Linked DNA regions of Schizosaccharomyces pombe. The protein of the gene in region 2 purifies or fractionates together with the protein of the main gene of each other region. This does not show direct contact. Each region holds a gene or a part of one and is shown on either strand. Other genes may lie near its edges.

What was found.
Region 1: the proteins of stc1 (region 2) and ebp2 purify together in Schizosaccharomyces pombe (affinity purification with mass spectrometry, with the first as the bait; one large-scale study listed by BioGRID). This does not show direct contact.
Region 3: the proteins of stc1 (region 2) and ser1 purify together in Schizosaccharomyces pombe (affinity purification with mass spectrometry, with the first as the bait; one large-scale study listed by BioGRID). This does not show direct contact.

What each region holds. Positions count from the first base shown.
Region 1 is NC_003424.3:2,011,128-2,016,704, reverse strand, and holds ebp2 (rRNA processing protein Ebp2), read right to left. Parts: upstream 3,891-5,577; 5' UTR 3,774-3,890; coding exon 2,772-3,773; 3' UTR 2,500-2,771; coding exon of another isoform or gene 2,419-2,499; 3' UTR 2,379-2,418; coding exon of another isoform or gene 2,154-2,378; 3' UTR 2,107-2,153; coding exon of another isoform or gene 1,610-2,106; 3' UTR 1,570-1,609; coding exon of another isoform or gene 567-1,569; 3' UTR 501-566; downstream 1-500. Other genes in the region: signal recognition particle subunit Srp21, read right to left, coding at 7-196, 249-320; SPOM_SPAC17H9.06C (uncharacterized protein), read left to right, coding at 567-1,569, 1,610-2,106, 2,154-2,378, 2,419-2,499; RNA-binding protein involved in heterochromatin assembly Dri1, read left to right, coding at 5,010-5,577. UniProt on the Schizosaccharomyces pombe protein: Required for the processing of the 27S pre-rRNA.
Region 2 is NC_003423.3:3,690,486-3,693,693, forward strand, and holds stc1 (CLRC complex-Argonaute linker protein Stc1), read right to left. Parts: upstream 1,431-3,208; 5' UTR 1,364-1,430; coding exon 716-1,363; 3' UTR 523-715; downstream 1-522. Other genes in the region: mug30 (ubiquitin-protein ligase E3), read left to right, coding at 1-521; abz1 (para-aminobenzoate synthase), read left to right, coding at 2,078-3,208.
Region 3 is NC_003424.3:3,813,610-3,817,665, forward strand, and holds ser1 (phosphoserine aminotransferase), read left to right. Parts: upstream 1-2,062; 5' UTR 2,063-2,243; coding exon 2,244-3,413; 3' UTR 3,414-3,556; downstream 3,557-4,056. Other genes in the region: arrestin-related substrate adaptor Any2, read left to right, coding at 1-646; SPOM_SPAC1F12.06C (DNA repair endonuclease), read right to left, coding at 940-1,331, 1,418-1,784; cab4 (cytidylyltransferase), read left to right, coding at 3,855-4,056.

The DNA.
Region 1 (5,577 bases), on a different chromosome or scaffold from region 2:
ACATACCTGGTTCAGGAGGAATTTCGTTACCTGTGGAGACATAACTAAGTTTGTTTGCAATTAGAAGTAATCTGCCAAGTTCAGCCGCCTTGTCAGTCCTATATTTTAGACATATTCCAGAAGCACTTTCAAAGGCTTTCGCGATTAAATAATTTTGACTCTGCTCATTCGTGCGATATTTGATACTAAGTTTGGTCTAAATGAAAAAAGTCAGAGTTTGATTATCAAAGATATCATCAACACCATACCGTTTTTGGATAAGCCTCCGTTAATGATTTTGACTGTGTGAAGAACTCATTCACAGTTTGCAGGTAAACCATGGTATAGTGGCTGATGGTAGGATCAACACATCAGGCATGCACCTCGTAGTGTTGTCTGAAACACAACTAAGTTATATTTGAGTCAATCGAAGGTTACTAAAATTGAATATAATTCATCCAAAAAACGTAAAAGCTTTTTTTACTATTTTTTCTACTTTTTGGTATACTATATTGGTTTTTCACGTATAACAAACTACTGAAACTATTAGTCGACAAATCTGTCAACTTAAAACATTCCCCTAATTTATGGTATCAAATCAAGACAATGTACAGAGAAATGATGTTCAAAAGTATCCGATAACTAGGTTTGTAAAGCGAAAGAGCAATGTTGTGCTTAAAAAGAACAAAGGAGCTATGAAATCGAATTCAAATTCACGCAGTAGAGGGAACAAAAAATTAAAAGAATCCCAATTTTCTTCTCGAGATAATTTTAGAACCACTCAAACTCAAGCATCTTCGTCAAGTGAGCCTAGTGATAACACGAACAGACTAGTTCCGGTGGTAATTATTGATAATAATACTCCAAAGAAAGAAGAAAGCAATGCCGAAAAGTTAAAGTTAGATAAAGATTCTTCAAGCGTTAATTATGAGAACCAAATCAGCAAACCGCTTATTACTTTCTCCGATATTCACGAAACCGTCAACGTTCCGTTTCTTTGTTTAGACAAGCACGACTCAAAAAATGAGGTTGCGATTAATTCACATGAAGATTCGCCTGTATGTCTTGAAGATATCACCGGGTCACTGTCATCTACTTATGGCAACGATAGTTTAGGTGAATCCAACTTGGAAGAATTACCCACTAGTGATAAAATAAAGGGAGAAAACATGGGAAGTCGAAAGAAACGAAAAGGATTTGTCATTGATTCGGAGGATTCCGACACTGGAATTCCAAGAGAAGAAAATGTTACGATTACGAGAAAGACGAAGCTGTCTTCTAATATACTATATTCCGATTCTGATACCGAGCGACAGAGCGATTCTGGTTCAAAAAACGTTGCAAGACAGTTTTCTCGAATAAAACGAAAAAGGAAAGTTTTGAGCTCATCTTCTGAAGATGATGAAAGTTCATCTCCTGAAGATTTGTTGAAGCCCATAATTAGATCAACAGAAGAAATGGAGAATTTAAATGAATTAGAACAAGAGGTTCAAGATTTGGACCCTATTGATGAAGGTTTCGAAGAAAAAGTGCCAAGATTTCGAAATCCTTCGAAGAAGGCATTTTATGAAAAACTACATAGTTTAAGAAGTAAGTAATTTTTTTGTTCTTTTATTAACGAATAATTAAGATCGAAGTTATAGCAAACTTGAATCTCTGACTTCCGAAAAATCTGATACATTGATTACCAAATCTGAATTGGCTAATGAATCAGAAGAAGACGATTTTATAGTGGATGATGAGGATACAGAGGTAATGATGAATGCTCGAAGTTTACTTCCTGCAGAGTTTTCAATGACAAGTCATCAAGGTTTAAAAGCACACTTTCGAAACTTTATGATGTTTATAGTTCAGCAGGCTATTGATCCAATAGACGCTTCTGATATATCTGATCATTATTTGTTTAGCCGTCGAACTATTCGTAAACAGTTATATTCATCAGTTGATTCGAATATCATCTCAAGCATTTGGCAATCAGAGTTCATTAAACTAATCAAGACTGTACCAAATATGAAAAGTGCCAAGATCGATGCTACTTATGGCTGTGATGCATGTAATATTCACACCAGAATGTCAACGCAAATTGTTTATTTTAAAGGAATGCCTTATAATGAGCATAACTATAAAGTATGAATTGATTTTCTCAACACTAGCGGGCTACTAACTTTCTAAAGGAGCTAGACAGTTTTGAACCGATCACTAAAGAAGCGTGGATGCTAGGAAACAGTTGCTTTAATCGTGCTAGAATTGCACACAGCATATATCATTGGGAATATAAAGTTAGTCGACATATACAAGTTGAACTCAAATTTCGTGAAGCTTCTAACACTAGCGAGCAAGGAAAAAATATTGTTGAAAGCATATATGAGGATCTTAAGGATTCAAATTTTTTTGAAACGGTAAGTATTCATGAGATATTTATTATTTCTAACTGCTTAGACCTGGGTGGAACTATGCAATTTATTGAAACTTGCAAGTTCTTCATTCGAATCTAATTTCCATAGCCGTTCCTCAATGTAATCTAGAAATTTAGTAAAACAAATTTAACCGATTTGGGTAAAACGGTGCAAGAATTTGATATTTTTTTAGAATTTATTGTGTGATCGGCTCTAATTGTATATTACATAATTTAATATTTATAACTGTTCATTTTTTTTGCAAAATTCTTGTTGCTCTTCTTATAATATATCGCCTTCAAACTCGACTGAAGTACGAAACATACCTATTGTAAAGAAGAAATAATGATATTAAACCTAAGATATAGTTATTTATAGACCCCTTATAAACCCCAATTATTTTCTAGCCTTTTCACGTCGCGCCTTACCGGGACGTTTTTTAGATTTAATGTTTTTAAGACCTTTTCTCCCAAATTCGGTAGCAGCAAGACTGTCGAGATCATTGCTTTTGCTGCGATGCTTTGGACCACCAAATCCATACTTTTCATTTTTCTTTTGTCGCTTCGGATTAGGCTGTGGCCGTGATTTCGTACTACGGCTACCTTTTTTAAATGTATCGGCAGAGGCTGATGAAAGAGCAATATCAAAGTCATCTTCAGTGGTAAGATCTCCTCCAGTATGCTTTCGTTTGAGAAGGTTAATTTTTTCGAGGGTTTCCTTTTTTTCCCGTTGACGCTCTTCTTGTTTAGCAAGCTGAACTTGTTTACCAAACTTCTTGAGTTCTCGTTGTTTCTTAGCTTGCTGGGATAGTTTTTTAGCGGTTGCTTCTTTAATCAACTCTTGACGCACTTTCTCCATGTGGTCATCGGACTTTAACATTTCCGCAAAATAGTCATGAGGTCGGGAAATTAGAACATTCGCCTCACGAAGTTTGGCAAAAGCCGCCTTTACAGAGCTCACACCTTGTTTATAAAAGGCCAGTTCACGGGCAAGATCATCCTCAACATTTTCAATTATTATAGGCTCCTTAGTAGTAACAGCTTGGTTTTCAACAAACGAAATATCATCAGGATATTTAATTCGTTCATAGATGTTCTCTAGTGCAACAGTGTTATTTATAGCTAATTTTCTTTTTCTAATCAAATCAGCGTCTTCTTCCAACTCAATTCCTTCAAGATCAGAAAGTTCAACTTCATCTGATCCCTCAGATTCGTTCTCTTGATCAGCTGTATCAGCTGTTTCAATAATAGGAGATTTAATGGTATTGATCATTTCTTTCTCATTTAATGCCTCAACAGAAGTAGAAGATTCATTGCTTTCCTTGTTTTTCTTTTCCTTCATAGCAGCTTTAGCTGCCTTTTTCTGAGCTCTTCTTTGCTTTGATTCTATTCCTGCCATCGTTGTAGTCTAGTGTGTATTCTACACAAAGCTGAATTTGAATATTTTTCAAAGGTTTTGAAAAATTTGCTTTGTGCTACTTTGATTAATACAATCTACGATTAGGCTAACGGTGACAAAGATTTTTACTATTGCAGTTCACATCAAATAATAAAGAGCACATTTAGAATCGCTAAGCTGATTAACGTTGCGTTATATTACTCTTAGTCTTCATTTAGGTTGTACGGAAGGCATTTAATAAATCCTTAACGTAAATTTTAACCCTTTATTTGTCCGTATAAAATTCGTTGTATCAATTTTAAGCTATAACTTGGTCGCATTTTATCGATTGTAGAGTTATTGCTGATAAATTTATGTTTTGCTACATTACACCAACTCTAATTGAAATGACGGTAATTTAGTAAATTATCAGTTGTGTAAGTAAATTACTATCAGCTTTTTTATGTAGCAAGATGTACAAATACTTTTCAATGGATGGCTTTTCAGTATAACTTTTCCCTTGACTTCCTGATACAATTGTCAAAATAAACAACAGTTCTTTGATTGTTTACGTGGTTACAAAAAACCCCGGTATTGTTCATAAGATGTAAGCTACGCAGTTTGGTATCTGATTTAAGGATACGTAGAACTGCGGTGAGTTTTCCTTGTGATCTATTATATTACAATACACAGGTTGTATAAGTAGCAACTGAGTATAGGTATTGTATTAACTGGGTTATAATGTTAACTATCACTAATATAGCTCATAACTGAACTGAGGAACGAGGTTCAGCAGTAGCTCTATTTATAGTATTCAGATAATATTGATCTTAATAGATTATCATTAAGATCAATCTCCATATCGTATTATACATGGTACGATATATAATTAGAACATGTGACATATAGTGATACTCAACGTAGTGTAGTATTGCTGACATAAGAATACCAAATGCTTGATGCGCTAAATTATGGTATAATAATTTATCGTAAAATTTTCATTTTCATTGTGTTTCGAAAGTATTGCTAAATTTTCTGCTTTGCATGCAAAAGAATCCCACAACAATACACGATTCGACAGTAACATCAGTTGTACATATTATTGTTCATAAAAGATTTTTCTCCTTTGAATAATTCCGCTTAGGTGGATTCTAAATCTAGATTTGTTACTTTTGTGACTGTACTTGTGAGTGACAAAGAAAAACACCAACGGGTTTGTAGCTTTGCAATATCATGTCAAAGCTACCAAGTCCAACAATGCCTCTGCCAGAATCGGTAGGCGACTTGGTTGTTTTGCACTTTGAAACAAATCTTGACGATCACGGCATTAGCATTGGCCGGGCGCCATGTGAAATTCATGAAATATGCTGGGTTATATTAGATGGAAAAACTTTGGAAAAACAACACTGTGAATCGTGTAGTATTCGTGAAGATAGTTCTCGTCATGGAATTTGTGGTTCTGCTAGTTCCTTAACTGAAGCTATCTTCACATTGGATAATTCAATCCAAGAACGATTAAACTTCCAAGGAAAACCTTTTACATTTGTTGTTATGAATGGAAGAGAGCTTCGTGTATTATTGCCAAAAGAAGCACGGGATCAGGGAATTACGCTACCTTCCTACATGCGCCATCCTCGCTTGTTTGATTTATCAAGCGAATACGCCAAGTGGCAGATTCGCATGGGTGCAGTACCACCATACACAATAACGCTTTCTCATATTTTTGGTAAATTAGATGTCGACTCTTTACCACCTATTACAGAGTCAAAAGCAATTGAATTATCACCTTCAGATGCTCCTTACATAACCAAAGGTCTTACTCAAT
Region 2 (3,208 bases):
AACAATTTTCTGCTTTTTTCGATGGCTTTATGAAAGTATGTGGAGGTAACGCCATATCGTTGTTTCAAGACAATGAAATCAGCAAGTTGATCAGAGGAAGTGAAGAAGTTATTGACTGGGAGCTACTCAAAAATGTCTGCGTTTATGATTTTTATGACCAAAATGCGATTTCAAATTCTATATCTGAAAGTGAACCAAGTATGACTGCATCTAAATATCTCTGCCACTCTTTCGTATCAAAAAGAAAAATAATACTTTGGTTTTGGGATTTGATATCACACTATTCGCTAAAAATGCAAAAACTTTTTCTCATTTTCGTCACAGGAAGCGATCGCATTCCCGCTACTGGGGCACATAATTTTCAATTAAGAATCTCAGTTCTCGGACCTGACAGTGATCAACTTCCTATCTCTCATACTTGCTTCAATCACTTATGTATTTGGGAATACTCCAGTAGGGAAAAGTTAAAAAAAAAATTAGACACGGCGTTGCTTGAAACTAATGGGTTCAATATACGCTAGTGTTTACATCAGGGTTCGCAATTCCTTACCTTTTACTACTATATACATATATCTATTTATTTAAGATCTAAATTAAATTCAACATATTTTAAGGTCTACATTAGCACTAATGGACCTTTATAATTTATCATATAAAATGGGATCGTAAGCAAATCTTTACATAATTCAAATAAGGATGAATATAAAACGTGTCTCTATACAATTTGTTTTTCTTTTTTGAATTGCTGAAATATCTCTTCCATCCTGTCTTCATCAGAGTCATCATCATCATATTCTTCAGCTGAATTGCTTTCCTGTTGCCCCTTGCTTTCAGTTCGCTCTTCGTCAGTATTATCAGAAACATCGTCAGCGTATTCTGAGTTTATGGTTTGTTTATCATGAATGTAGATATCATCGTCTAAGTCAGAATCATCACCTATGAAAGGATCAACGAACTTATCAGATTCCAAATTATCATCACCGTCGTTCCTTTGTGAATGTACACATATCTGACATCGTGGATCCAGGACATGTCTTTGTGCCTTAGAGAATTCATTAATGCCCTTAGTTTGTTGACAAGCGGTACACCAAATTGAATCATGCTGTTTGGGCTGGCAGGTACGACATATCACTTTTGGGTCTGAAACGCTAACCGTTCTCCCACGAACAAATGTAAACGTTTTGCTCCATTGAGTTTTGCTGTAAGAGTCTATCCCTTTAACCTTTCTGCATCTCATACACATAATTAAACAATCATTATCATTTTTCCCTTTTGAATTCAATGTACCCCGGTATTTTTTAGCATGTAGTTTGCAATCCTTCGGATGCTTTTTAATTTTATATTTTCGACTCTTAAAATCCATATTTTTTTATTATTATTAATATGGTAACAATACTCTTATAAATGAATATATGTACTGAAATAATTTTAATTAGCTGCTGACGTTAGAAGCATTAAGTAGACAATACCTTTAATGAACAAAATGTGATAGCCTTGACAACCAAATAGAAGAAACATACAGGCTTAATCAGGATTTAGAAAAAAAAAACAGTAATACAAGCCGTCCTATCAATTGTCATTGAGATCTTTACGCTGATCAGGCTGTAAATGCATTAATATAAAATTTACTACCGTTCGGTTCGATTAATAGGTGAATCAATGATATTAAAGCAAAAAAGAATACATATATTTGTTGATTGCTTCATGTTCTATTGACAATGAAAATTGCACATATTCAAAGGGTTGTTTTCAAAATAAATACTGCTTCCCATTCTATTATTCTCGCCTTCAAGTTTTTGATTGCGAATTATTCTTTGAAAATAAACGGAATAATAAAACTTTAGATAGCCTACACTTTTCCTACCTTAAATGGAATTGTATGATTTGTAAAATCCCGAAGAATGTCAGAAGCTTCTAAACAAATTGGAAACTGGAATTTAATTTGCGCACTTCCTACTCCTGCTACTTTGTAAAAGTTAAAACCTCTTAATACCAGAGTTCTCTTTTCAATCATATCGTTAAAAAATTAATGTTTCTTGAGTAAATCTAAGGTCGTTTTAGCTGATTAGTATCTATCATGAGTGAAATTTCAAACCGTTTACAAATTTTATTAATTGATTGCTATGACTCATACACTTTTAACCTTTATGACTTACTTTACAAAGCAAGTGAAAATGCCTGTGTTATTGTTGTTCATTGGGATAAAATGAGTCCTGATTTATGGGAAGACATACTTCAATTTGATGCCATTGTCGTAGGACCGGGCCCTGGACATCCTGCCGAATATTCTTCTATTTTGAATCGTATTTGGCAATTAAATATCCCAGTAATGGGCATTTGTTTGGGGTTTCAGTCATTAGCTTTATACCACGGTGCCACTATAGAAAGAATGCCTAATCTTCCTTGGCATGGCCGTGTGTCATCTGTAACTACTTCAAAAACTTTCATTTTTGATGGAATTTCAGCGGTTAAAGGAATGCGTTACCACAGTTTGTACGCGAACAAAATTCCCATCGATTCTTTACAAATATTAGCTCAATCGGATGAAGATAACATAGTTATGTCTATTAAGGCTACAAAGTTTCCACATTTTGGAATACTTTATCATCCTGAAAGCGTTGGGTCATCAAAATCTTTGAAAATTTTCAAAAATTTCCTTTCTCTAGCAGATACTCCTAATATACAATGTGTCAATTCCTTTTCAAAATCAGCAAATGGTTTCTCGCATAATCTTAATCGGTATGATATTTCTCCGGCTGCATTCATTCTTAAAAGTGGTTCTCCCTCTCTTCAAATTCACAGTGTTGAAATCCCTTGGGTTGAACCACTAGCGTTAGCTGATTGTATTCAAAAAAGCGGGAATCCAATTTGCTTTTTAGATTCAGCGAAAAAACCTGGGAGATATTCTATACTTGGAATTTTAACAGGTCCTTTGGCACGAATTATACATTACGAGAAAGCAACGAATACTACTGAGATTAGAATTTGCAAGGATAATAGCTTTGTCCGTATAAACAACGATTTGTGGTCCACAGTGGCTGATTTCATGAATCAACATAAAGCAATTAAGCCAGATACCAATTTGCCATTTTACGGCGGAATTATGGGTATCATTGGTTACGAATGTAGTGATTTATCTACAAAGTCTGTTTCAAATGCCTCTTTTCCTTTGGACTTCCAACAAACCACAGTTGATGCCGAACTTGCT
Region 3 (4,056 bases), on a different chromosome or scaffold from region 2:
AATTGCCCAGCGTCTCTTCCCCCCTACTTCGCTTATTGCTCTTTTAGAGCTGCCTCCTGTAATTCACCCTTTGAGTTGTGTTCCTGTTGAATTTCAGCTGACCGGTGTAAAACCTGAAAACTCCAAGGTTGGTTGGCGCTTAACGAAGATTTCGTGGAGAATAGAAGAACAGATAAAAGCTCAAATAAATGGTTGCTCGACCCATACTGGGACAAAAAAGCCATACATTTTCAAGGAGACTCGGCTGTTGGGAAATAATGAACATAAGTCTGGTTGGAAAGAAGATGGCGATAGAATTATCTTCGAGATCCCTATCAGTACATCTTTACTTTCAAAGCCTATTTGTGATGTTTCCTTTGATGGACAATTCTCTCTATATATTGCCCATCAACTAATTCTTGAGACTATAGTCGTCGAAGTGATGAACTCGCATCCCATAAACTCGAATGCCCGAATTTTAAGGATGAAGGTCAATTTACCTTTGACTGAACGAGGTGGTCTTGGTGTTAGTTGGGATGAGGAATGCCCCCCAATGTTCAATAGTGTTGGACCCAGTCCTCCTGCATATGAGCAAGTTGCTAGATCCTCTCCCACTGATATTCCACTACCTCCACCTTCATGTCCTACAAATGTTCAAAGAGATTGATTCGAATTTTAGTTTCTTCCGTCAATTTTGTTTTTTTATCTTTCTGTTTTAATTGGGCTTGTTTTTTCATTTCAAAGATTTGTGTATCTTTATATGACTTGAACGGTAATTTTTTGACCTTTACTAAGCTTGGATGATACAACAGGATTTCCATTAAAGGTTGCTTAACGTTTGTTCAAATTCCGCTTTTTTATTTCTCTTTCCTGTAGATTAATCTAATTCTAAACCGTCAATTAAAATACTCACAGAATATCTAAGTAGACAAAGTAATGTTTCTCGTAAGATGATTTTGCTTAATTTTTCTTATTCCTTTTCGATTGACTTAGGACAAATTTGGCATAAATGTCTGCTTGCCTGATCGGTTCCGGTACCCTGCTATGAGAGCTACTGCATTTCTGTACGAGTTGGATAGACTGTTCTAAATTCATTTGGTTACCGATGCTAACATAAACTGGGCGTTTCGAGTTACTGCTTGTCCATACTGCAGCGCCCAGAATCTCAGAAGATTGATCAATCGAGTGAATCAATATTGGATGATCAGTTGTTTTCTTTAGCACGTGTTTCTTTAAAGTTTCACGATGTGCATCTAAGCTTTCAGTCAAACCCACGCAATGTAAGTAATTTTTCGCGACGCCAACAACGGGAAGATTCAACAACACACCTAAATGGCAAGCCAATCCAAATCCTAAGTTGAGTTAGATATAATTAATAATATCCTTCATTGAGAGTGTCTCCTTGAAGTAAATAGATTGTTTACAGAATCTTACTTACCGACAGGATGCAATACGCCATTTCCATCTACTAAAATGATATCAATTCGAAATTGATGAGGAATGTGATTTAGCAATGGCAAATACCATTTAATTTCTCGAAATGAAAGAAACCCGGGAACATAGTCCTCTTCTAATTTCTCAATGCACAAATAATCTTTATAAATAATCATACGTTGTTCTAAATCATAAATAACAAGGGCTGAGACAGCCTTTGGACTTGATTTATCAAAAGAGATATCCAATCCTACAACATATCTTATTTCATTCAAACTTTGAAATTTGGGAATTAGCTGCAACATCCCTTTAAGTTCAATTTGCTGTTGGCGCCATATCGTTAACTTATCATGCAAATTGTCATTATTCATAATATACAATTGATCTTAAAATCATTTAGGTGTTTTTTAATTTAAAATAAACCGGTCTTTTCTGGGGCTTGAGTTGAGTACGAAAACCACGAAGTGAAAAGGTAGAAGTTCCCACATATGAGATTTAGACGCGAAATGTCAATTAATGTAATGAGATATCTAAAATATAAATTACTGTAAAAGAATTAAATTGACAAAGCGTAAACGAATACGCTATCATTTTTGGGATCTCATCGGTGTGTATAAAAAAGAAGTAGTGACTTCACTCACTTCCTCTTAACCCATATCATAGGAGTTGATAATTGGATCACGTTGACAGGTTTTGATTTCTCTAGGCGACATTTACTATTGTAATTAGTTTTACTCTCATATAAATAGTTTTGGAGTAATACCTGTGAAAATTGATATTCAGATTATTTTAAATTCTAAGTATACTTCTGCTTGAGCTCACGGAACAAAATGTCATCCAGAGAGGAAGTAGTTAATTTTGCTGCCGGTCCTGCCGCTATGATTACCTCTGTAGTTGAGGAATTTGGAAAGGACTTTGTCAATTTCCAGGGCCTTGGCATGGGTGTCGCTGAAATTTCCCATCGCAGCAAGCAAGGTTCCGGGATCGTTACTTCTGCTGAATCCAATTTTCGTAAACTTTACAATATCCCCGAAAACTTTCATATTTTATTTATGCAAGGCGGTGGTACAGAACAATTTGCCGCTTGTCTTTATAATGTTTATGCACACCATGCCCTCAAGAATGGCAATGCTAAATCTCTTGTTGCAAACTATATTATTACCGGAGCCTGGAGTAAAAAAGCATATGCTGAAGCTGAACGCTTAGGCTTCCCATGCCACGTTGCAGTCGATATGAAAGAATTGGCCGGGAAATATGGATCTTTACCAGAGGACAAAGATCTCAAATTTACACCTGATGGCGAAACTTCCTTGGTTTATTATTGTGACAATGAAACTGTTCATGGAGTCGAATTTAATGAACCACCTACAAACATCCCAAAAGGTGCTATTCGCGTTTGCGATGTTTCGTCTAATTTCATTTCAAGAAAAATCGATTTCACCAAGCATGACATAATTTTTGCTGGTGCACAAAAGAATGCTGGTCCTGCAGGAATAACTGTTGTATTCGTCAGAGACTCAGTTCTTGCGCGTCCTACCCCCGCCGAACTTCATAAGCTCAATATCCCTGTCTCCCCTACTGTTTCGGATTATAAGATTATGGCTGATAATCATAGCCTTTACAATACGCTTCCGGTAGCCACGCTCCATGCAATTAACCTTGGCTTGGAATATATGCTTGAGCATGGTGGTCTTGTTGCTCTCGAAGCATCATCAATCGAAAAGTCAAAGTTATTGTACGACACTTTGGATAAGCATGATCTTTATATATCTGTGGTTGAACCTGCCGCTCGTAGTCGCATGAATGTCACATTCCGAATTGAACCTCAGGAGCTTGAGTCTGAATTTTTAGCAGAAGCCGAAAAACATCATCTTGTGCAATTGAAAGGTTATCGCAGTGTAGGGGGAATTCGTGCTTCTCTGTACAATGCGATTTCCGTAGAGCAGACCCGTAGGCTTATTGATCTTTTAGAGTCCTTTGCTAAAGCACACTCTAACTAACCTTTTTTGATTCTGTCTTAAGTTTTTGATTTAGATATAAAACACAATAGATGTGGGAGCTGTTGGTCCTAAGTATCATATTTATGAGGATAGAAATGTATTAACGTAAAATCTGTATTAACGAAAGTCAGTTTCAAAATCACCGCTTAAAAGCTTCATTAACGTATTCAGTAATCAAAGCTGCAGCTTGAAAAGTAAATTTGGTGATTTGAGGATATTTACGAGTTTTAAGACATTCTGGGCTTCATGTAAGTTTCAACAACAATATCAGCTTCTAAGACAGATTATATGTACGCAGAATACCTAACCAACAATTATTACAAGAACAAATTTTATTCATAAGAAGTTGATTGAAATTATTTTTTGGAAGTCGTAACATTATCGGATTGTCCCACCTGATACCATTTCAAACTAAATATAAAACTTTTCAAGAGACGAATAATGGGGAAAACTCTTATATTTATTAAGCTAAGCAGCTTAAATGAGTGTATTAAATATTCTACGATAATATCGAAAATTGCGAGAGAGCTTAGCATTCATAAAGGCAATGAATTATATATCTGGGTAAGTTGCTCTGAAATGTGTCAGAAAAGAACGAAGCATTTGTTTCGTGAGTTGCAAAATGCGCTTTGTGAATTATATC